Drosophila melanogaster: one gene and its partners. The gene in region 1 interacts genetically with each later gene. Each region holds a gene or a part of one and is shown in the gene's direction. Other genes may lie near its edges.

What was found.
Region 2: of wrd (region 1) and mts, changing one enhances a phenotype caused by changing the other (phenotypic enhancement), as found in Drosophila melanogaster (one study listed by BioGRID).
Region 3: of wrd (region 1) and Liprin-alpha, changing one suppresses a phenotype caused by changing the other (phenotypic suppression), as found in Drosophila melanogaster (one study listed by BioGRID).

The regions. Positions count from the first base shown.
Region 1 is NT_033777.3:18,170,486-18,179,947, forward strand, and holds wrd (well-rounded), read left to right. Parts: upstream 1-2,358; 5' UTR 2,359-2,464; intron 2,465-2,640; 5' UTR 2,641-2,799; coding exon 2,800-3,705; intron 3,706-4,054; coding exon 4,055-4,559; intron 4,560-4,847; coding exon 4,848-5,044; intron 5,045-5,117; coding exon 5,118-5,452; intron 5,453-5,518; coding exon 5,519-5,749; intron 5,750-5,821; coding exon 5,822-6,214; intron 6,215-6,319; coding exon 6,320-6,563; coding exon of another isoform or gene 6,564-6,608; exon of another isoform or gene 6,609-6,756; intron 6,757-7,417; coding exon 7,418-7,561; 3' UTR 7,562-7,890; downstream 7,891-9,462. Other genes in the region: cdm (cadmus), read right to left, coding at 9,432-9,462.
Region 2 is NT_033779.5:7,825,473-7,834,826, forward strand, and holds mts (microtubule star), read left to right. Parts: upstream 1-2,177; 5' UTR 2,178-2,579; coding exon 2,580-2,681; intron 2,682-4,989; coding exon 4,990-5,553; intron 5,554-5,996; coding exon 5,997-6,187; intron 6,188-6,261; coding exon 6,262-6,334; 3' UTR 6,335-8,104; downstream 8,105-9,354. Other genes in the region: Rack1 (receptor of activated protein kinase C 1), read right to left, coding at 229-864, 1,298-1,509, 1,589-1,697.
Region 3 is NT_033779.5:6,721,254-6,727,539, forward strand, and holds the start of Liprin-alpha (Liprin-alpha), read left to right. Parts: upstream 1-2,649; 5' UTR 2,650-2,831; exon of another isoform or gene 2,832-2,924; 5' UTR 2,925-3,140; intron 3,141-3,573; 5' UTR 3,574-3,594; coding exon 3,595-3,843; intron 3,844-3,904; coding exon 3,905-4,006; intron 4,007-4,522; coding exon 4,523-4,876; intron 4,877-4,948; coding exon 4,949-5,050; intron 5,051-5,119; coding exon 5,120-5,287; intron 5,288-5,345; coding exon 5,346-5,465; intron 5,466-5,940; coding exon 5,941-6,081; intron 6,082-6,286. Other genes in the region: homer, read right to left, coding at 1-201, 265-343, 397-833, 889-1,177, 1,544-1,557.

The DNA.
Region 1 (9,462 bases):
GCAAGTGCTTGACAAACCGATATTCACTTTCCCCCTTTTCCTCATCTCCAATTTGACCAATTCGTTAGTCCTTAGAGAGATAAACTTATTAGATTTTAATTTTTTTAATTTTAAAAAATGATTTTTTAATTAATTTCATAAGTTTTTTTATACGAAATATGATGCATTTAATTATTTCTTTAAATAGAGGAAATACTCTTTATTTAACAAACGATATAAATAGCATTTAATGACCTTGTAAGTGGTAACAGTAATCTAGCAATCTTTATTGCTTTTCAATTTTGGTTTACAAATCGTTATCGTTTCAATTATATTACCTTGGGTTCTACTTTCTGATAAGACTTTTGCGATTGAATGAATAGATTGCCCTAAATCCTAGATTTTATACGATTTCCCGAAAGTTTTGTGTCAACAAAAGACGGAGTTGATTATACAAATCTTTATACTCACATGCCTGTTATTAACTAGAAGAACTTTTAATGAAAATTTTTTACATTTTTGTCTCTCCAACGACAAAAATATTGAACATTTGCAATAAAACATAAAGTATAAGGCGAGCACTTTGCTTTTTGAAACTGCCAAAAAATTGCCCAATGAAATGCTTTAAAAAATACATAAATGTTAGTGCCTGGAAAATATATACATATATGCCACCACCTGATTCCCTGGTAGATGCCAGCAATATAATCCTATACGTGTATGGAGAGCCTACGGAACTCCAGCTTCCTGATCCCAGAGCACATTTCAATGTTCGGCATTACTAAACTCAGACTAAAACACACCCACAGGCAGCTCAACTTAGGCGTCAAGGATTCGCACAGTCCAAGGTAAAAGCGATGGCCGGCCAAAATGGCAGCGAGGGACCATCCCGAACTGAACTGCTTTGCTCTGATTTTGCAAGTGCTACGTTTTGAGTATGCTTTTTATTTGACCGCATATTGCTTTGCATTCGTTGTTAAAATTATTTTCATTTACTAAGCATAAGCCAAACCGTTGACATGGGAAAAGATAATCAGATAAGTGTCATTTATGCCCCTTTGCAGGCTAACAAACTCAAGGACAACACACCACCGTACGATGCACCGCCGCCCACGCCGATCAGCAAGGTCCTGAACATCACCGGCACCCCGATCGTTCGCAAGGAGAAGCGCCAGACCAGCGCCCGGTACAATGCCTCCAAGAACTGCGAACTGACGGCCCTCATTCCGCTAAACGAGAGTGAGTAGCCTTGGAGTAGATCCTACTACTTAGTATATTACTTTATAATACATGTACTGCCAGCTGTTCAGATCGATATCTCTTAAGCCTGCAGATCGGTTGCATGGGGTAGAACTTGGTCGTAGCCATGTCGTAGCATACATTTTAGGGCAGGGTTCCGTTTAGGCGATATAAAATTACCTTTCTTACTGTCTACCAACATCGTCAATTAAGTTTTTATGCAACTATACACTCAAAACAGATTGTATAAATCGTAGTAATTCCCATTAACGATGCATAATTACATATATTATGTCAATTAACTCCGGTAAATTTCCATGATTATAAGTTCAGCTTTAACTTACAAGAGGCATTCTCTGTAAAGTGTACCTACGACCTGCAAGCTTGTTGGGAATATTGATTGGCCGGCGCTTGATTAATTTCGCTCAGCTGTTGTAATTTGTTTATTATTTGTTAAAGTTAAAGGTCAAGGGAGTGTCGTCTGATTAGGTGGGTGGCAACACTGACGCACGGCCACTCACACATGTGAACCAAGCAGCCGCATCAATTCACACCTCTCTCCACCTCTCTCACTCACCGGAATTTCAACACATGCGCTCTCTCCGCAGCCTCTCATTACACTGGGAGAAAGCATCGTTAGAGGATTTCTCAGACCGTCTTAAATTTCATATATACACCGGCATTTCTTTATGACACAAATGTATTCGATTGATTTAAACTTGTGTATACAAATAATTAGAAAAACTGTATCCTGCAGGGAATTAATTTAAAAAAAAGCAAATTCAATATTTTTGAAAATCATATATGTACATATCTGCGCGTAATGATTATGAAATTGCTACACTTTTTTTTTCTGTGCAGCATGAATGTCATCGCATTGCGTTATTCACATACCTTTCTGCTAATTGCTTGGGCGGTTTCGACTCACAAATCGAATAAACAAATTTCGCTTGTTCAATACTATTTTATTTTATTAGGTTTTATTGTTATTGTGGCTCGCTCGCCCACCAGCCCACTTTCTCTCTCTTTATTTTCTCTCTGTCTGCTGCTCACCAAATTTCTCTCCATTTCATTCTCTCTCGATATCGATTTTTCCGATTGGCGCAGCAGTCGAAGCAACAAAAAAAAAACCGTTTCAAGACCGTGAACGTCGTGTGCCCCGAAAACTTTAATATTAGTTGAAAATATTCGTTTCCCAAGTTAATTGCTCTCCTATCCTATTCCCTCATTTGTTCCCATTCGAACCGTAAGTTTTTCCACGTAATTATGGCCATTTGTGAGGCAAAAGAAGAATTTTAGCAGAGGCGTTGTCATTTCCATTTTCATTTCCAATTGCATTTCATTTCGTTTTGTGTTACCATCAGCGCATAATCGCATTTGGCGTTAATCTAAACCATTATCTATATTGCAATTCCATTACAGATTCTATAGTTTCATACTTAGCGTGCCCAAATTGAGTTTCTAGTGTAGTCTTTCTCATGTGTTGTTGTTGGTCGGCGGGGGCGGCTGGTAAAAAAAACAAGCGTTCCGTATCAAGATTAAAACCGAGTGCCATTTGCTCCAAGTGCCGGCACTAATGAGATGGTCTTCGGTGCTATGTTGCTGACGGGCAACGGGCTCAAAGGTCCCAAACAGCAGCAACAGCAACATCAGCAGGAGCCGCAGCAGCAGCAGCAGCAATCGCAACAGCAGCAGCAAGAGCAAAAGAAACCGGCGCCCATTAAATCCTCCAGCAAGGAGCAGGAAACGCAGCCCATTGCAGCCGGGTATTATGCCCTCGGCATACGCATACCCAAATCTCCATCGTTTCACAGCGGCCTAGATCAGCTGGCCGACGACGAGTTGGACGATCAGGTGCAGGATCAGCAGCAGGAGCAGCAACAGACCGGCAGCCGATTCAGGTTTAGCAGCGTGGAGGAGCTAAAGGCCAAGTTCGAGGGGCGGAAAACGCCCCTCTCACCGCCAGAGGCAGCAGCAGGAGGAGCAGCCGGATCCGGAGCACCCACCACATCCTCCTCACCATCGTCCTCGTCCACCAGCTCCAATTCGTCGGCCTCGGCCCTGTCCTCGCTTTCACAGGCGGCCTCATCCTCGCTAGCCTCGGCGGCTGCTAACTCCTCGGCCTCATCCTCGGCCGCCACATACGGTGGTGGAGCGAATTCGGCTGCAGCTGCACTGATTGCCTCCTCGCCATTTGGATCGCAGTCCTCCACTTCTTCGCTCTCGCTATCCTCGAATGCCGGCATGTCGAAGAACGCGGCAGGAGCAGGATCTGGATCTGGATCTGGAACAACGTCAACGGGCGCTGCTAGCGGCAGCAATTCACTTGTGTCCACTTTGGCACAACATTTCTCGGCGGCCACATCCGCCGCAGCATCGGCGGCAGCCGCTGCGGCATCCTCTGCCTCGGCGGCGTCCTCCTCGTCAGCTTCCTCCTCATCCACCGCCACCAACAACGCAGCCAGCAGCTCCATCGCCGCCAGCAAGGTTTGCAGCTTGGTCTTGTCCACATACACACACACCCAGCGATCTGAAAACCCAAAACATAACCACATCACCACCTCCAAGTACAAACCACAAATTTTACACTTTCTTCCAAACTTTCACTAATTGTGTTAGCTTTTTGGATAACGATAACTAAGTTTCAAAGAAAAAAATAACAATTCAAGTACCTTGTTAATCAAAGTTTTATTTACATTGTACGCTAGAAGCTAATACATTTAGTAGCATCTCACACACTATCCACCAACACTAACTCCATCCCAATTGAACAAACCGAAATTTGATAAACCAAAACCATACTCTGCTCTCATTTCATCGCTTCCTCATCATCCAGTCACCTGTGAGCGCGGCCGCGGCCATAAAGAACATACTGAATGCCACCAAGAGTGTGGGTACTAGTGCTGCGGCGGCGGCAGCAGCGGCGGCCACCTCCTCCTCATCATCCCCATCCTCTGCGGCGGCTGTGCCGTCGTCCGCCGCCACCGCCGTCGCCGCTGTTCCCACCACCAGCGATGTGCCCGCAGAGGAGATGCGTCCGACGGTGGCCCAGAATCTGGTGGGCGGCATTAGCATCTCATTGGGAATTGGCCAGCGCAATGGCGGCGCAGCACCTGCGTCATCAGCAGTAATGGTGACACCTAACGCCACCATGGTGGTGACCACATCGAGCCTAAGCATCCGGCAGAACGGTGACATACTGCCGGGTCATCCGGCGGGTCTTCAGCCCTCGCCCCAGACGCTCCAACAGCTGACGGGCAGTCCGGGAAGGGCTCGCGACCGGAATCTATTCTACACGCCACCCACCGCTTCGGTTGCCATGGCGCTGCCTGCACTGCGAGGTTGCTATCCCGAATGGATCCGGGCCAATGGCGATGGATGGAGCCATTCCAGCCATTGCCCTTGGGCCTGAGGTCCTCCGGCTACTTGATCCTTTCTTCCGATCTTCATTATGTTCGTTTTGAGTTTCGCTTGCCTGCTTTTGGTTGGTCGTTTTTGTAGTTGTAGGTTTTTTTTTTTTAATTTTATATTAAGGTCAATTTTATATGGCTTACATTTTGTTTGATATATCTATCACTTATATTATATATTTAAAAAAATTAATGATGATTTCATTTGTATTTCCATAGAGACCGCCGCCAGTGAACGTGAGGAGCTGTTCATACAGAAGATCCAGCAATGCTGCACACTGTTCGACTTCTCCGAGCCGCTCAGCGACCTCAAGTTCAAGGAGGTGAAGCGGGCGGCTCTGCACGAAATGGTCGATTTCCTCACCAACCAAAATGGCGTAATAACCGAAGTTATTTACCCGGAGGCGATCAATATGGTAAGCTACTAATTTACATATTTAAAATAATATCACATGCTTTTACCACAACATACTTATCTGTTCTCATCAGTTTGCTGTCAACCTTTTCCGAACTCTGCCGCCATCGTCCAACCCGAATGGTGCCGAATTCGATCCGGAGGAGGATGAGCCCACGTTGGAGTCCTCGTGGCCGCATCTGCAACTCGTTTACGAGCTGTTCTTGCGCTTCTTGGAGTCACCAGATTTTCAACCAAGCATGGCAAAACGTTTTATCGACCATCAATTTGTATTACAACTATTGGATTTATTCGATTCGGAGGATCCACGTGAACGTGATTTCCTGAAGACTGTTTTACATCGCATCTATGGAAAATTTTTGGGCTTGAGAGCATTTATTAGAAAGCAGATCAACAATGTCTTTTACAGGTGAGCTCGTCATTGGAATATCTATAAGGTTAATGCCTCACATTACTAATCGCATTCCACATTTAGATTTATTTATGAAACGGAGCATCATAATGGCATAGCCGAATTGTTGGAAATCCTGGGTAGCATTATCAATGGCTTTGCTCTGCCGCTTAAGGAGGAGCATAAACAATTTTTACTTAAGGTATTGCTGCCATTGCACAAAGCCAAGAGCCTCTCGGTCTACCATCCGCAGCTCACCTATTGTGTGGTGCAGTTCCTGGAGAAGGATCCTAGCTTATCGGAGGCGGTCATCAAGTGAGTAAAGAATTCCTTATTTTGCGCATTTTCTAATTAGCCTATCGCTGCCATATTTCAATATTCTTGCAGAAGCCTACTTAAATTTTGGCCCAAGACGCACAGTCCCAAGGAGGTTATGTTTTTGAACGAGCTGGAGGAGCTGTTGGACGTAATTGAGCCGGCCGAGTTCCAGAAGGTGATGGTGCCGCTGTTCCGCCAAATAGCCAAGTGCGTCTCTTCGCCTCATTTCCAGGTGGCCGAACGTGCGTTGTACTATTGGAACAACGAGTACATTATGTCGCTGATAACGGATAACTCGGCGGTGATATTACCCATTATGTTCCCAGCGCTCAATCGCAACTCAAAGACGCACTGGAACAAGACCATCCATGGTCTGATCTACAATGCACTCAAGCTGTTCATGGAGATAGATCAGCGGCTTTTTGACGAGTGCAGCAAGAACTACAAGCAAGAGAAGCAGATGTATGTGTTAACTTTAGTTGATAATTAACTTCCATGGGACGATGCACTCACGTTTTATTACTTTGTACTAAACATTGGCGTTTTTTTTTTTTTTTTGCATTGCAGGGAGCGTGAGAAGCTGTCGCAAAGGGAGGAGCTCTGGCAACAGGTGGAGAGCTTGGCCAAGACCAACCCGGAGTGGACAAAGGCGCGCCGGTTTAACGACTGCCTGCCGGTCAGCGACAGCCGGGCCCTGTGCGATCAATATAGTGAGAACAGCGATTCAGCGTATGATCAGAGCGAGCAGAGGGCGCGCCAGCCGCCGCCTCCGCTGCCGCCACAGAAACAGGCGCACCAGGAGCCCCGAGAGGTGAGACAGGCACTTGCCACATTAACAACACTAAACAACTACTAATCCGCCACGTGTGATCCTGGCGTCGCTGTGAGCTGTGCCCAGCTAAGGCCCACTCTGTTTCAACTCTAATTCTAATCGAACGAATGTCTGTTAAAATAATCACACTCATGTCATTTAAAAAAAAAAAAATACATATTTGTATATCTTTAACTTTGTCTATTTATTTATTAATTATTTGGTAACCTCACTGTCTGCCAAACCAAACGCATCCATGCAAATTCATCCACGACACAACAACTTTTCTCCTGCACTTTTGGTTAACCGCATACGAATTGGGCGGAATTAATATGTAGTTTATCTTACTTAGATGTTAATTACACTTTGGTCCATCTTTTAACTCATTTGTGGTCATTTTAATGAGAGAACGCGTTCCTTTTGTAACATCAATATGATTCTCATTTATTAATTTGAACACTTAACATAATTTTCCTCAAGTGAATCACCATTTTTAAGCATGAATCCCAGTTAGAGTAAAATCTGTGCACATAACTATTAAAAACTAGTGTCAAATGTATCATGTTGTTAACAACTCAGAACCAGAAACCATACAACACTCCTCGATCTCAGACCTTTGTAACACAATTCGACATTCGGGTGTAGATGTATATATATATCGTAGTCGTGTGTTGTCCAACTGGTGGTCATCGAGTTTCCATCCAGCACCACAGCACTCGATATCGTAACGCAATCATCCCGCACCACCGTGTAACTTCACCCGCCCAGTGTGTGTGTGTGTGTGTGCTGCGATGCCTTAGTGTCAGAAGCGGGTCCATTTTCTATTGCCAAACCCCCCTTCCCGTTCCACACAGATTCGTGGCGAACGGAACAAGGACAAGCCGCTGCTGCGCCGGAAATCGGACCTGCCATCGGACAGTGGAACCGTGAAGGCGCTAAACGAGCACAAGCGGACGGATGAGTACCTCACAACGCCGCCGCCGGATGGAAACTACTAGGAGAGAGCTGGCCAGCCGACGCCACCAATATTCGTAGCTCCAATGAGGAGGATAGTCAAACCACAGAACTTACCCAAATAGACCTACACACTCCAGACTAAGGCCAGAAAGCATACATATATAGAAGCACAAGTCCAAGTCCAGAGATGAAGGATAGAATCCGCACAACTAGAGAACAAACAATTTTGAACGATGCATTTGCATTTGGGGGCTTAGAGTGGGGGCGTGGCAACGGATGCAAGCCAATTGCTATATATATATACACATACAAAATACCTATCTTTAGTGATCATGCATAGTACCAATAAAGATCAAGAATCCCCAACGAGATCGATTGTCTAGCTCCAATTTCGTTTGCATATGCATTTCAAGATTACCCTTTTGCTCCAACGCATGCCACAGTGAAGCTTAGCCCTGAATGACCTTCTTATATATATTCTTATTTCTTATATCTTTTACCCAATGCATGTTGCTGCTAGCGTTGCTTTAGCTATAGCCCTATCAATTAGATCTAATTGTGCAATAATCTGGTATCACAACTATGCTCTTACCATTTCAGTAAACGCGTGAATATAATTGTACAGTTGAATTTGAATTGTCTAACTTAAGGCGTAGGCGTTTACCACCTTGATTGAGTACATATATATCCCCCGATTTCTGCCACATGCATACATAGATAGCTATATGACATCCAGACATTCATGCCACATGCCACTATTATACACACATACTATATAAAACATGTTTACTACTCCACGACTCAAATTTGCAAATATTGTACGCTATTTAGCCTAGCAGTTAGAGCAGCATACCCATAATATATTTATATGAAACAAATCGCCCAGCAGGACACATAAATTGTGGTATGTATGTGCGTGAGTGTATTTTTGTATGTACTACCTATTAAATATAGAAATATATATATATATATATGTGCGGAGAACCGTGTTCCTGAACACCGATCAAAAGGAATTAGGCATTTTTGTTTGTCCTGGACTGGCCGTGGATGATCCTGCGGACCGCCAAGGAATAGAGATGTGCCAATTTCTGGTCCACCAAGCACAGTTGATAACCTATAAGCATCCTTACAACGTCACCACAACAGACTGGGACAAATTGCTGGTCGTAGCGTCTACTTCTATACGTTAATCTATATCTATATGTTAAACTGTAATTTTGGATCCGTGTCAACCAGTCGTTTAGTTCCATAGTCAAGTCATTACCGGGTCCGTTAGACAAGGATTTATGCAGATACTCTCAACTAATCTAGAATCTAGACAAAGGCGACGAAGCAGATCAAAAGAGTTTTGCTACCACTACCAAGTGCTGTACACGCCAAAAACGAAAGGCTTCAGTTTAGCTATAGACACAAATATATATATATATATATATATTATATAAAGAGATGTATTTACATATTTTTGGCATTATAGATACATACACAATGTGGAAAATTGCAAAACAATAATATGGGTGGAGAGGTAAAGGGAAAGTAATTCTTAGAAAGGCAGATTTTTTCATACAGGAAACGGTGAAAATCAAACTTTTCAACATAAGAATTAAACATATATATATATATGGGAAAAACAAAAACTATAAAACATTTACTAAAAGTGAAAACAATAAATGAAAAATGAGTTATACACCCTTAAAACAATATATATGTGCAAATTGTAAATGGAGCATGTAATTTTGTAAAAATTATAAATAAAAGTTTATCAAGTCGAGAACTTTTGAACTTAAGTTAAAATTGGAGACAATTTACAGAGCTGACGGCCTATTTAAATACAAACTAAATACAATTATAGAAACTAGATCAAAATCCGGATGGATAAAGATGTCATTTGGCCACTTATTGCATACACTCATTTCACTGGAACTTTTCTGTAAGTCCTCGGGTC
Region 2 (9,354 bases), on another chromosome or scaffold:
AGTTTATATAAAATGTTTTCTTTATTAACATTTACTTATCTTCTGCCTAAACTAAATTGTCCCACTGTTTATACTATTCCCATCTATCCGGAGAAAACTCTATAGCCCAAAGCCTAAAGTTAAAACTAATTCAGCCGCTACAAGATACACAAATTTCAGTTAAGGACGCTTAAATTTTATTTTTGTTTTAGCTAAACAAATTTGACGCCCGTTACAAAGGTCAGTAGCTTAGTGAGCCGAAACAGACACCTGCCAGACGCGGATGGTGTTGTCGGAGTAGCCGGCGAACAGAGTCTGGCCGTCGGTGGACCAGGCCAGGGACAGGCACTGGGGCTGATCGGCCTTCGACGTGGGCGAAACGACCTCGGGGCGCAGCTCCTCAACGGTCTTCTTGCATGCCAGATCCCAGATCTTGATCGAGGGTCCGTAGGCCACGCACAGCCAGTAGCGGTTGGGCGAGAAGCACAGGGCGTTGATGATGTCGTTGTGCTCCAGAGTGTACAGGTTCTTGCCGTCATTGAGGTCCCACAGCAGGGCCTTGGAGTCCTTGCCACCTGAGGTGCACAGGGAGCCATCGGGCGAGACGGTCACCGTGTTCAGGTAGCCGTTGTGGCCGTGGTGGTTGTTCTTCAACTTGCAGTTAGCCAAGTTCCAGACCTTGACGGTGCGATCCCAGCCGCAGGACACGATGATCGGGTTGGAGTGGTTGGGCGAGAAGCGCACGCACGACACCCAGTCGGTGTGGCCATCCTCCTGGATGGTGAACTTGCACTCAGCCAGGGTGTTCCACAGCTTGATGGTCTTGTCCCGAGAGCCGGACACGATCTGACGGTTATCGGCCGAGAAGGCAACCGACAAAACGTCCTAGAAAGCGAACAAGCATTTGACGATTAGCTAATGGTATTGGTATGGTTTTCATAAAAATAATATATTTACTGGATATTTCACTGACCAACTGAATGGGCATAGTCCCAACTCAATTAGTCAGTGAACGGAATCCAGATGGGTTTCTTGCAACTAATTAGGAATCAATGGGTATCAGAGATTGTTTGCCTACTTACGATGGAGCTTCAAGCAATTTATAGCCGAGACTCGAGCGAAGGGTGAAGCGTACGTCGTACAGATGTCAACCAGTAATTCTGCCTCGCATAGGCGCAATATATATTTTTTCGATTTGTACGCGGCAAAGGCGGGCCTAACCTCACTCCTAACCTTACATTTAGCCTTTTGCCGGTACAGATCGGTTCAAAATCTCAGTTCCCTAAACGAACTAAATGCAATTGGAATCTTATCCCACCTTAGTGTGTCCCTCGAAGCGACGGGTGGTCTTGCCGGCGGCCAAATCCCACAGGCGAAGGGTCTGATCCCAGGATCCGGACAGGGCGTAGTTGCCATCGGAGGAGAGCACCACGTCGCTGATGAAGTGCGAGTGTCCGTAGAGACGCTTCTGGGGGTAGCCGTAGTTGGTGTCCTCGTCGCGGGTCAGCTTCCACACGATCAGGGTCTTGTCTGCGAATCGAGATGGTGGCCATTAATATACGCACGTGCTACCAGATAAATCCGAAGAATTTCAATGGCGATTACTTACCACGGGAGGCCGAAATTATGGTGTCGGGATCCTTGGGGTTGGTGGCGATCTGGGTGACCCATCCATTGTGGCCAATGAGGGTACCGCGCAATTGCAGGGTCTCGGACATCTTGAGTTTATATTATTTGCTACGGAGCGCGAAGGAAACACGTCCAAAGGCGCTGCAAGCTGGCAGAAAAAGAGGCAGTTCCGGTTCCAGTGCTCGCTAAGATGCCAACTGTCAGCGAGCGTTCAGTGTTGGACAGGACAAAACTATCGATAGTTTGAATTTTCTGTTACAAATAATACGTGTAAAATGTAACGTCAAATAATAATATCAAAAACTTTAAAATATATATAAAAAAAATAAATACTTTTACACCAAGTATTAATATTATTATATCTAAAGAACCCCAGAAATATTGAAGTTTAGTTTTAAAACAAATTGTGCTATTATTTAAGAAATAATCGACGCTAATGCACATCTATGAAAAGACTACTAAAGGATTTTAAAACAATCCCAATATCTTGTTGCCCAAATGCCTATGTACATACTTTTATTTTGTCACTATCACGTAATAATGTAAAAAAAACGGTGAGCGTTGATCCCACTTTATTTTCTAGTTTTACTTGGTAACTGTTGGCCAAATAGTAAGGATACCATCCACAAGTTTTAGTCGGTATTTTTGTAGAAATGTCAAGCATGCATCGCTAATCGATACACACACACACAGCGCGTTCTTAAGCGTTTCGCGGCAATCGGTCACACCGAGGGCAGTCTTTCCCTTCGTATATCGTGTCGTCGTCTCTTTTGTGAACAAAAAATACGAAGAAAATCGCCCAAATCGAGTTGATTCGATTGGCAATTGTGTGGAGATAAACGAGTGAATACGCGGTTGGCAATCGAACGCAACAGTAGTTGCTAATTTTCCTGCACCCCTGAGTTATAATAAAAGCCGTCAAAATTGAATCGACAAAGATTGACGAGACTTTTTCTTCCACCACAACTGCGATGGAGGATAAAGCAACAACAAAAGATCTTGATCAATGGATTGAGCAGTTGAACGAATGCAATCAGTTGACAGAGACACAAGTTCGCACCCTCTGCGACAAGGTAAGGCCCGGTCCTTGCCCATTTTCCCCATGCGAATTAGGAGATGTTATAAAAATAATTTTCGTCATTGCATGCGAGCGAGCGATTTTTTTTTGCAAATGGTGCTCCAACGCTGCGTGTCTCTGGCCCTCTCGCTCTTTCCAATGGGGAGAGGCGCTGAGCGGAGAGCGCGAGAGCATGATTCATGTCGTGCCCTCTTGCTCGCACAGTAGCGGCGGCTTGCGTCGCCATATTGGAATATTGGTAAATTCCAACAGCCAAGCGCCGCATTGCCGCGCACAAGTGCGAGCGGGACAACGGGACGGGCAAGTGCGTGCGTGAATGCGACAGCTAGAACAGCGCTTTGGTCTAATGGGCTAAACCTGGGCAAAAAGAGATATTTCTTTTTGTATTATTGTACAATTTGATTGTTTAACTAAAGTGCATTGTGCGTGTTTAATGTTGTTGTTATTGTGTCCACCGGAAACTGAGCACCCCCGCTCCGTGCAACCTCATGCGCGTTTTGTCGTTGCTGAGTAAATATTACTTAATGTTTTTGTGCGTCGGTGTGTGCGCGCCCCTAGAATATGTATCTATGTACCGTCGTATCTCAATTCTAGAATAATGCACTTGCATTGGTGTTTGTGTTCCTTTTTTTATGACCAACCATGTTCAATTAAACACTTTTGATATCAATTGTTTTTAATTTGCCGATTTTACCGTTCATCAGGCGCGTCGCGCACACAAACAAACAGACAAGCAAAAAGAGTGCAAGAGAGGGAGAGAAAAAGAGAGGGTGAACAGATAACGATTCATTGATTTAGGAGTAAGTGGGGTTATGTTTGCGTCACCCAAATATTTGTCAGTGTTCCCATTAGAATCTTGAATCTCCGTTCTCCCTCCGAGAAGAACGTTCTTCGCTCTTCTCGGGTGCGTCTTCTGCGGCCTCTCTCCATCCTTCCCGTTGCTACGAAAAGAAAAGCGGAGAGTACGCGGAGAGAGCACAAGCTGCATCAGTGTTTGTGCATGCATCTGTATGGGTGCGCTGGCCTCGTCATGAGTTCAAAAATTATTTTTCTTTTTTTTTTTTTTTCGATTTCTGGCCAAGCGGAAGCAACAGCCTCCAAGGTAATGCTGTGCATATGGCAAAAAATCTAATTGGCTCACGCACAAATCGCTCATTTGCGCCGCCGGATTCTACCCCCGGAACTTGTTGTCATGTCCCATTTCGTCAGCTGATAAATATAAGAATTCGCAAAGAACACGGCGGAATGGTCAAAATAAATGTGCAATTTTTGTTTGCTCATTTTGGCACATTTATGTTTGTAAAAACCGGTTTTTTTGATGCTGTATATTGACGCCCATCGGGAATTTTTGAATCGACCTTCATATTTTATTTTACTAAAGACGATAGAATACTTTCCAGAATCGTGAATTTGTTATGTTTATACGGACAACTTTTTATCGTACGTTCATCTTATCTCAACTTATTAAAAAGCTTTGCTTCCTTTGTTTTGATTTTCATACAGCTTATATTAGCAACTTAAACTTGTTTGCAACTGACGCAAAATTCGATGAGAAAATAGTTGAGGTTCTTCGCTTGTTGACCAAATCTTGACGGATAACCTTGGCCTTTGACAAGGTTTTATCATCCGCACATGCGGATCACTTTCGGTTTTCTCAGTACTTTCTGTTTCGCAGATATTCTGTCATGTCATTCACCATTCACCGAATTATGGCAGGTGAAAAAATAGAACATCAAAGTTTCCATATTACTTTCATTTGGTTAACTATTTACACACAAACGTAACAAAAATGTTTTGTAATTTCCGGAAATTTTGCTACATGTTTATGTTTTTCTTATAGGAAGTAGCAATGTTTAGGTACACAGTTTTATAGGGTTTTGCGGGAAGCTATTTTCAGAATTACCCAAGAGATTGAGTTTTGATGCCATTAAAATTTCTTGTGGGATGTTTAAAGAGAACAAGTGATATTTATTTCCCTCGATTCTCTGTAAAAAAACGCATGCACTTATCCAATATATTTGTTTTAATTTCTCTTCTAGTTACAAGCTATTTTTAGAGTACACTTTGAGTGTTGGCGTTGAGTCATTAAGTATAGTGAATAATGTACAAAGTACTAATCGTTTTATTTATCTTTTCTGACCCTGGAAACGATTTGGGCTAGATTATGTTAATCAGTATTTTAATATTGGTATTCAAAGTTGTTTATTCGGTTATTCGAATAGGGAGGTAACATTAAAACGTATCTCCCTAAAAATATCCATAAATAAATTGCTGATTGGTCTACTGTTTCCATTTCTTTACAGGCCAAGGAGATTCTCTCCAAGGAGTCCAATGTGCAGGAGGTAAAATGCCCGGTGACAGTGTGCGGAGATGTCCACGGTCAGTTTCACGACCTCATGGAGCTCTTCCGGATAGGCGGCAAGTCTCCGGACACCAACTACCTGTTCATGGGCGACTACGTGGACCGTGGATACTACTCCGTGGAGACCGTGACCCTTCTGGTGGCCCTGAAGGTTCGCTATCGCGAGCGCATCACCATCCTGCGCGGTAACCACGAGTCGCGCCAGATCACACAGGTGTACGGCTTCTACGACGAGTGCCTGCGCAAGTATGGCAATGCCAACGTTTGGAAGTACTTCACGGATCTGTTCGACTACTTGCCACTGACGGCACTCGTCGACGGGCAGATCTTCTGCCTGCACGGAGGCCTCAGTCCCTCGATCGACAGTCTGGATCACATTCGGGCCCTCGATCGCTTGCAGGAGGTTCCGCACGAGGGTCCCATGTGCGATCTGCTCTGGTCCGATCCCGATGACAGGGGTGGCTGGGGAATCTCGCCTCGTGGCGCCGGTTACACCTTTGGCCAGGTGAGTGTTGTCTGCATGTTGGCTATTTCTCAATAAAATTCGGAGCTGATTTGCCTAGCTTGGATACTTGGAAATTTATTCTTTAATCACATTGTAAAATTGTTAAGTGAAATACATCTGAAGACCCGATTAAAACTAAGCTGAACAAAAATTGTCTGCTCAAAAGCATGCAAATATATTCTAGATAAATTTTTTATTGATCTTAATAGGAAATTTTATCGGGGCATGCACTTGATGAAAATCAATAATCAGTAATCGAAGTCTACTGCTGATATAGGCCCAACTGATAACGCAATCAATGGAAAGAGCTTTCGTTATAAATTGTTTTGACATTTCAAACCGTCAACTACAAAACAAATTTTAACTATCCAAATCGAATTTCATTGAGAAAGAGCCAATTACTTCTATAAGCATTTTTACTAATATTTCCATTTTATTTGAAGGATATTTCGGAAACCTTTAACAACACAAACGGCCTGACACTGGTGTCGCGCGCCCATCAGCTGGTGATGGAGGGCTACAACTGGTGTCACGATCGCAATGTGGTCACAATATTCTCAGCGCCAAACTATTGCTACCGCTGTGGCAACCAAGCGGCTCTTATGGAACTGGATGATTCACTTAAATTTTCATTGTGAGTGGCAATTCGCTTGAGCTGCCTTTAAATGCGGCATGTCTGACTAATCTAATCGTTTGCATTTATTTTAGCCTACAATTTGATCCAGCACCCAGGCGCGGGGAGCCTCATGTTACGCGAAGAACACCCGATTATTTCCTTTAAGCTGGATTGCTCGCACCTACGCAGCTTACATTTACACATATTACATCGCATTATAACAACAAGAAGAACCGAAACAATATATAATATATACAAATCCAACCAGCAGCAACAAAATAAACAAAATGGCAAGTGCTGTCGAAAAAAAAACTACCATAAAAAACAACCCAAAACTAAAAACCTCGATGCATTTGTTTTGTGGAGGTCGTTTTAAACAGAGAGCAGTGGAAGAGATATTGTATAAACAAAGAAAAAAAAAGTAACCATAACAGTCGAGAACACAAAAATGCATTGAACAGTTATTGTTGTTGGCCACAGTTTAAAAGAAAAGGAAAAAACCGGAAATGTCGCCAGCGGGGGCGGCAGGCAGAAAATTTATATCAAAGATAAAGGGGAGGAGCAGAAGGAGAAGCAGTATACAGAAATGATACAATCCAATCGAACCTACCAACCAACCCAGAAACCAAGCAACAAAACCGCAAGCAACAAGAAGAACTACAACTACTTAGCTAAATTTGTTAATTTATAAAAATAACGAACTAAGCGTCGCAGCAGAAAGCCAGGGAGCAGGAGTGATGGATGGATGGACTCATGGATTATGACGTGATGTGTGTGTGGGCGGAAGGGGCTGACAAAGGACTAAACGGGACGAAAGGACGAACGCCAGGACGTAGCAGCATAAGCAAGCAGCAGCGGTAGCAGCAGCAGAAGCAGAAGCAGACGACCCACGACCGACAAAGCAGGAAGATAACGATGAAGCAGCAGCAAAAAAGTAGGAGCAGTATGTGGCAGGAGCAGCAGCGAACGCCATTGCGATGGGGGAAGCGCGGGGCGGGCCAGCGATTTATATAAAAACAAAAATTATAAAAAAGAAAATAAGGAAATACAACAAATTTAATATTACTGATTAAAATTAAATAAAAAAAAGCGAATAAAACTATTAAAAAACAAACAAAAAAGCAAAGAAAAATGATTAAAAAAAATTCATTATCAATTAAGTTCATATGTAACTTTAATAATAATAAAAGAAAGAAAAAAAAAACAAACAAACAATTCCCACCTGCCGACGAAGAGAGCCATCGAAGAGCGCGCGTTCAAGGGAGAAAGTCCTTTAAGAGAGACCCATGCGAACGATTTTGGTTTTTCGTTCTGGCAATGACGCTCCCTTTTGGCCTGCGGGCTCCTTTGGTAGTGTGTATGCGAACATGGCCAAGTTAACACGAGGCCACCACGACGAGCGGAAGTCGAGCCTCAAACGGGCCACCTAATTGAGACCACAAAGGAGGCGATATGGGTGTGGGGGAGGTGATATATGGATGGATGGCAGAGGGCAGATAGAAGGGACGGAGGTCGTGGTGCCAGCCAACCAATGATGCCCAAGTCAAAATCTAAATCAGAGCCGGGCTGCCTTTGATTCCCAGCGAAAGCGAAAGCAAAAATCTTGCCAACTTTGTATAAATTTTTGCATATTTTAGCAGCCGCCCACACGAACTGTCAAAAGTCATGTACAGTGGTCGCTCTCTATTGTTTCTGTTTACAAAGTATTTTGGAAACTATTTCGATTGGATTTGATGTTCCTGATAATTTAGTTGGTTATTTAACTTTAGCATACGAATGAAAAGTATATTAAGAGCAAGAAAGTAAACGATATATAAATAATAAACATTTGGCAATAGTAGAAACCCTAGAATATATGGATTATTCTGAGATAAGCAGTTCGTGCACCGCCAGTTGGCACTGTATCCACATGAGTTTTGGTCTGGATGAAAATCTAAATTTGAGAACATGCTGGATCGAGGATGGGGACTCTCAAGTGCCCAAGAACTTGGCGAGCAAACAACCATACCCATACGTACACCTACCGAGACTTGTCATCTATCATGCCCCAACAAACCCGAAACCAGAACAGGAGCTCCACAGGATGCTGGGGGGAGGTAATTGTCGCCCTGGCTGCTGTGGAGAGGCCATGGAGTTGGGGCTGGATTTTCAGTTGTAAAAGAGGGGAGCGTGGAGGGGGGGGGGTTCAGTTGGAGGCCCTGGAGCAGATTGTATTTGTCGTGCAGGCAGCGACGTCGACGACGACTGCGGCGTATGCGACATGGAAAATCCATTATCACGAAGTGAATTTTTACTGAAAAATTTACATACCCTCTCCAGTAACCCAACGCACCGCACCGCACCCCCCGCAGTCTCATATAAATGTGGAAATAAATCCTGAGTGCGTGTTCAAGGAGGCGCAAGGGGGCGTGGCGGGTGAGGATGCTCGGCATGAATATAACCCACAGAAATACAACTCTATTTGATGGCCTGTTATTAAGTAAAGGAATGCCACAGAAAAGTTGCCCAGCAAGATGAATCCTAGGTAGATTTTGTATTTAATTAAAGGCATAAATTCAAAACGATGAAAGATACTCGTTTTGGGTTGGCCCCTTAAAACACTTGGCAAATATTTGGTATCATAATAACTTAATATTGGAAATATAATATTTAAATTGAATAGTAAGGTAGCATTGCATACTATATCAGGTACAAAGATTTCGAGAAATCCACTGATTTTATAGCAGCAGTAATCCGCAGATTTGTTAAGTGTATTCTGACTCTTGCTCACAGATGATGGTCGAAAATGTTCGGATCATAAAACAAAAGTAAGTGAATCGGTATGATGGATACGGTTAAGGTTACGGTCGGAATGGAATGGGGGGGAATGTGGGGTATGCTGCCACTGAAGGTAGCCTAAATATTAAAAATTTAAATGAACTGCTCCGTTTTTACGATTTTGTCCTTAGTTTACGACTGATTTTTCCGAGGGACAGAAAGAGAGGGCGAGCCTAAACAAACGTTTTGTATTTTTATCGTCTGTGTGTGGGCGCTTTTTCGGGTGGATAATTTCGGGGCTAGTATGTTTGGTGGTTGGATTTGCAGGGGGGGGGGGGGCGGTTGGCGTAGCTTTTACGATGCAAATTTGTTGCCATAAAATTGAAGAGTGTAGCCAAAAGTGAAGCGCTTTGCCTAAATAAACTTTG
Region 3 (6,286 bases), on another chromosome or scaffold:
AAGTTCCTTCTGTAGTTGTTCTGTCCGCGCCTTGAGCGTGGCCACCTCACGACGCAGTTCGTCCTCTGTGGCGCCTCCTCCGGCTGCAGCCACAACCCCGCCGCCCACGCACAGCTGCTCCATATCTCGTTTGAGGCGAATATTCTCCTCCTTGTAAGTGTGCAGCTGGCGCTTCCATTCGTCTACATTGGCAGTTGATTCCTTTGGGAGAAAAAGGCCAAAAACGATCAGTTTCAATAAATGTGAGCTTATCTTATTGCTTACCTGAAGAGCACTAGTCAGCCGTATATTGTTGTTCTTCAAGGTAGCCAGCTCGATTTCCCATTTCTTGGCATTGGCGCAGCTGAAAAGAAGGCATTATTGCCTTGAGCCAATGACGGTCAACGCTTTGCTTACCTTTGTGCCAGTGCCATTTTCAGACGCTCGTTCTCGTACTTAAGCTGCTGCTCGGCGGTGGCGCCGGCTCCAGGACCCGTGTGCATGCCCACAATGCTTCCGCCAGACGAGATGGTCACTCCACCGCCACCAGTTACCCCTGAAGTGGGCTGCGGCGAGGGCGTGGCCGATCCGATGTCCGCCTTGACATCGCTGGTATTTAGAAGCTTGTGGGAAGGACTGTCCGGATTGGCGTTCTGGGTATTCGTGTTGCTCATGTTGGGCGGCTCCACAGTGTGCGGATCGATGGCTGTGTTGTCGTTCTGCATGGAGCCCACAGCTCTCCCGGAAATGGGCGACGTGTTCGCCGAGGTGGTGGGCGTGACGGCATTCGATCCGTTGGCCGATTTCATGGCATTCTTGGTGGCCTCCTTGACCTCCTGGAACTTCTCTACGAACTGTTGAGCGATATGATTAGTATATAAATATGTGAGACATATGCTAACCACTCACCTTGGTCAATTCCGCCTCTGAGGCAAATCCCAAGCCGTACACCGTGTTTGCCCGCACATCGCTCCACTGGCCGAACTTCTGGGAGGTCTGGGTGAAGGTCATGTTGGGTGTGATCGTCGAGTTTATCACCGCCTTGGTGCCCTCGACACTGATGATGCGGTACAGATTTCGCGAGCTGTCGTAGAAGAAGCTAACGTTGACCGCCTTCATGCTGGCCGTGATCCAGGTGCGCTTCGTCTTCGGATCGATGTGGAAGACGTGCGCCTGGCAGGTGAAAATCGGTTGTTCGCTAAGGGTCATAAAGGGATTAAAGCGACAAGCGTGTGATTAATTAAAAATTCCATTTAGAGCAGGCAATAAATTGTGCTTCTGTGCTCGTGTGAGTAAACTATGGCAAAGCATTCTTTTACTGTGGTTTATTAGTCAACAGGCACTGTGTAATGCATTTATAATTAGTAGTCCTTAAGTCCCAGGATAATCCTCGTGGTCCTTATTTGATAAAGTAGGTCGATATATGTTTGTTTTTTGCGATCTGGCCTGATGCAATGACAGTTTGTTGCGGGGCGCAGGGCCCCCATCAAATCAATTCCGTATCCGTGGTAGCCTCCAGTGCCTTTATTTGTACACATATACATATATATATCTTATCTATTACCTATCCGCCGACATCGTTCGCTGAGCTCTATAACTTGTGTCTTCCCGTTATCGCTGGCGACTGTCGACCGCCGACTAAATTGCATTATGTGCTAAGCCTTTTCCGCAGCCTTGCTTGTGATTTTTGATTCTCGGGCGGAAAACACGCACGCACACACCTGCACAGTCACACACACCTGCACACCCACACACATGTAATTGGCCTGCCCACGCGTGTGCGTGTGTAGGTGTATGTTTGTGTACATATATATGTATGTATTTACGCCGCCCGCTACACACAGAACGGCAGCAACAACAACAACATCATAGGGGGGAGATGTCAGCTAGTTCGGCGTCGATTTTTCCCACAGTAAAAACGGCAGGTTTAGGCCGGTTTGGCCGCGCCCATCGGTCTTACCCCATTGTATTCGTTCTTTGGCGCTGACTGAGTGCTTCCGCAGCAGTTTATACCAATGCTAGTCGGTTTTACTTATGAATTTCACGGTTAAAAAAAATAAAACACAAATGTCTAGAGCTGGAACCAAAATCGATGTTTGTATGGTGCTATCGATGTTTTTACTGGCTCAACACCATCGATGATTTATTTATTAGCTTCCAAGCATCGATAACACATGAGCTCGTATAAGAGCAATGATTCTTATCGAATAATTTAATCGCTGTAAAGCGAATTGCAAATTAATTAAGATAAATAAATACTAAATATGTTTGTCTGTAAGGCACCATAACAATGTAATTTTTTCAAAAACATGTGTAGCTGTTGAAGCATTGCATTTAAATGACGGAAGTTACAAAATAATTTCAGATAAAAGTGATAAGTTTTTTTGACTGTCTAGTTGTGCGCCTACATGTAGTTTGAATATTTGTTAGATATGGTTTTCTTTGTGCGGTGTGGCAGCATTAGTTTTAGTACACATTTTTCTAATACTTGACGATAGGTCAAATGGCAACTCCTGATCGGCAATAATATTTGCATATAATTTAGCTTTGAACATAAATAGACTGCCACAAAAACTTTAAAACAACACATTTTACTTCTATATTTTTTGGACGAAATAGAACCACTGAAAAAATTCATGAAATGTAGTACATTTTGTAGTGAAGAACCAGGGTTGGTTTACGGATTTTAGCCGTTTTGCCATCTGGTAACACTGACCAGTTTCTCATCGTTAAAAAATCCATTTGGAATTCGGTTTATTTAATTAAAAGCAGCCGGGACACCTATGCGAAGGGCAAAAAGCGGCCAGAGTTGTTGTTGCTGCTGCTGCCCAGCCGCCGTGCGATCGATCGGGGTACGTGTTCCGGCGTAACGAGGAGTACGAGGCGATTTTCTCGCAGCCTCTTTTTTTTCACACGAACGCCGTCCCACTAAACCGAAATTTCAGGTGAAAAACTCATTGGAACGCATTTAAAAGCGGCGTAAGCTCGCACCTGCTGCTCGTTTAACCCTGTTTCGGGTATATGTGATTGCAAAATGCGACAGCGACACACCTAGGCACACAAAATATGCCAGTTATGCGAAAGAGAAAAAGTACTGTGCCTGTGTGCGTGCGCGTGTGAGTGTGTATGCCGTGCGTGTGCCCCCGCCTGCGACAGTGTGCGTATGTGTTGGTGTAGAAAACTTGTTATCAATGCGGCGCCTATGATAAGTCTCATTAGACATGTTTCTCCCACTATGCTGGGTATTTCAATTGGAATGGCTAGCGAACGTGTGTGTGTGTAGTAAAATATCCGGACTCCATAGAATGGACATTTTGTATGAATTAATTGAATTTACTTTATAAATTCAATTAACATAAAGAATTTGATTTTATGCAGAAGAAGCTACAGCATTAAGTATCTCCCATATGCGGAATCACAGACAAAAATTCAATCACGCCAATTCATTTATGATCAAGGATCAAATTCAAGAAACTTTAGAAAAACGCGTCTAGTTTTTGTGCTTCGGTAACAGCGATAGTGGTACAATCTCCGCACAAAATGTACCTACAGCCAAAATCCTGTAACCTTTATTCCCCTCTCTGTCTCGCACAGTCTGGCGGCCCCAACTAAATAATGTGGAACATGATGTGCGACGTAATGCCCACGATATCCGAGGATAGCATCTCGCAGCGCTCCTCGCAGTTTAGCGGGGAGGATGCCAACTTTGAGCAGCTGATGGTCTCCATGCTGGACGAGCGGGACAAGCTGATGGACAGCCTGAGGGAGGCGCAGGAGCGGCTTAACGAGACGGAGAACAAGCTGCGTGACGTCGAGAAGGAGCGGGACAGCCTGCAGCGACAGATTAACGCTAATCTGCCGCAAGTAAGTGGCCTCTGCATGCTGATACCGCAGTTTACCTAAAATCTTTTCCTGATCTTTCTAGGAGTTTGCCACCCTGACCAAGGAGCTGACGCAAGCGCGGGAGACCCTTTTGGAACGTGACGAGGAGATTGGGGAGCTCAAGGCGGAGAGGAATAATACCAGGGTAAGTGATTTTCGAAAATTTAGATCCTTGGTATTTCAATTACTGAGACAATTGAGTAATGGTTAGATCAGGTAGATCATGACAAGATTTGCTAGACTAATTTATTAATTTAGGTATTATAGCCATTGCTAAATTACATATCCCATTGTTATTCAAACAAGAAACAGTTGTAGGTACTTGCTTTTGCGAATTAGTCACATATACCGGGAACAATACAAAAGTTTACTCTGTCCGTCTTCATTTTTATTTCGAACATGGCTTGTCTATTTGTTTACTTATCAGTGACTATACAAACATTGTTACAGCCTTTTAAGAATTAGTTCTTTGTATTCACATCCGTCTTAAACCATAAAAAGTGAAGTAAACTGTATTTATAAGTCCTTTCCGCTTCATTGAATATCAAGAAAATCAGTTTTAATTAAATTTCTACGGTAATTTTACTTTTAAAGAGACAATTTAAACGTCGGTTACTGCGTGAAATAATATATTTTTAATGATCTAACTTGACTATTTCAGCTTCTCCTCGAACATCTGGAGTGCTTGGTGTCCCGCCACGAGCGTTCCCTGCGTATGACCGTTGTGAAGCGACAGGCTGCCGCCCAGAGCGGCGTCTCCAGCGAGGTGGAAGTGCTCAAGGCGCTAAAGTCGCTGTTCGAGCACCACAAGGCGCTGGACGAGAAGGTGCGCGAGCGGTTGCGGCTTTCCATCGAGAAGAACAACATGATGGAAGAGGAACTCAGCTCTGCCAAGGAGGAACTGGCCCAGTACAAGGCGGGCGTGGTGCCAGCTGGCGTGGGCAGTGGCAGCGGAGCAGGGAGTGCCGCAACCACCGCCGGTGGTGGGGGCGCCGAGAACGGGCTCAAAGAGAAGGTGCGTTCCACATTCGAAATGCAGTCAAGCATGTCCGGTTTAATATATCTCTTCTATTTTCCAATACCCTAGATGGCGGGCGTGGGCGGATCTGGTGGCGTTAATGGCGAGGCAAATGAGCTGAACGACTACGCAGCCAAAACCCACGAGCTGCAAACCATTATTGAGAAGCAGGTGAAGATTGCGGATCTGTTTCCAGTCTGCATATGGTGAACACTTTTTAAAACGCTCTTTCCTTGTCAGACCTCGGAACTTTCACAATGGCAGCGACGCGTTTCTGATTTGAACAACAAGATTAGTGAGCTTGAGGAGAACATGTCGCGAGTGCAAAAGGAACACTGCAAGGCCCAAGACCAGTGTGCCAAGCTGCAGCGGGATCTGCGCGAGAATGTTGCCCAGAAAGAGGATCAGGTGAGTGAATAATACTCACAGCATGGTTTCAGTTTTTTACTTATACGTTCATTTTTAGGAGGAGCGCATTACCACATTGGAAAAGCGATACCTGAATGCTCAGAGGGAGTCTACATCGTTGCATGATCTCAACGAGAAACTCGAGCAGGAACTACGGCATAAAGAGGCGCAGCTCAAGGTGGGTAAAACCAAGGAAATTACAGCTTATGGTTAAGGCAGGCATACATATCTTTACTTTTATTCATGAGGATCGATTTTTTTTTATTATATTTCGATAAGCGCACAGTCCATTTGTTCAAAAAAATCCATTGATTACTCATTACCTTACTGTAAAGTTATTTCCAATTGAATAGCAGATAAATTTTTCATGATCTTACAAGTCAAGCAATTATCGCTAGTATGCTAGAGTAATGAAATAAAATTAGCAGCGAAATCTAGTTCGTATAGCATCTGTGATATTTTGTAAAAAATCGATCCACTCTGTTTCTAATTGTGCCCTAGCCTGCTCTTTCATTAAGCTCCCCTTAAGCGTGACTAATCAATTGCATTTACATACGCAACTATTCCCCCCGACAACTAATCGAACAAACACCCGCCCCAAATACGAACCACAACCAATCCATGCCATATGATCAATGCCGAATCCGAATCAGCTGCACGAGGAGAAGATCGGGGCCATCGAGGAGAAGCTGGAGCTCTCCGAACAGAAGCTCGCCCAGCACGCCAAGCTGCAGCCCGACATGGAAGAGCAGCTAAAGGCACGCATGGAGGCATTGACTAAGGTAGGAAACAAGGTATGCACTCGAACTAATATGCGCGCCGGACAGGTTCCATATGACAAGTATCAACAACAAATATTATCCCTTACAACTTCTACTCTGTTTTGTGTAATGTTCTTATCTTTTGCGTATTTTCTGCCACAAGAAACCACCAACAACTTCAACAACAACTCAGTTTCTATGTACTATACCTACTATTTCTATCTTTGTACTGCACCAG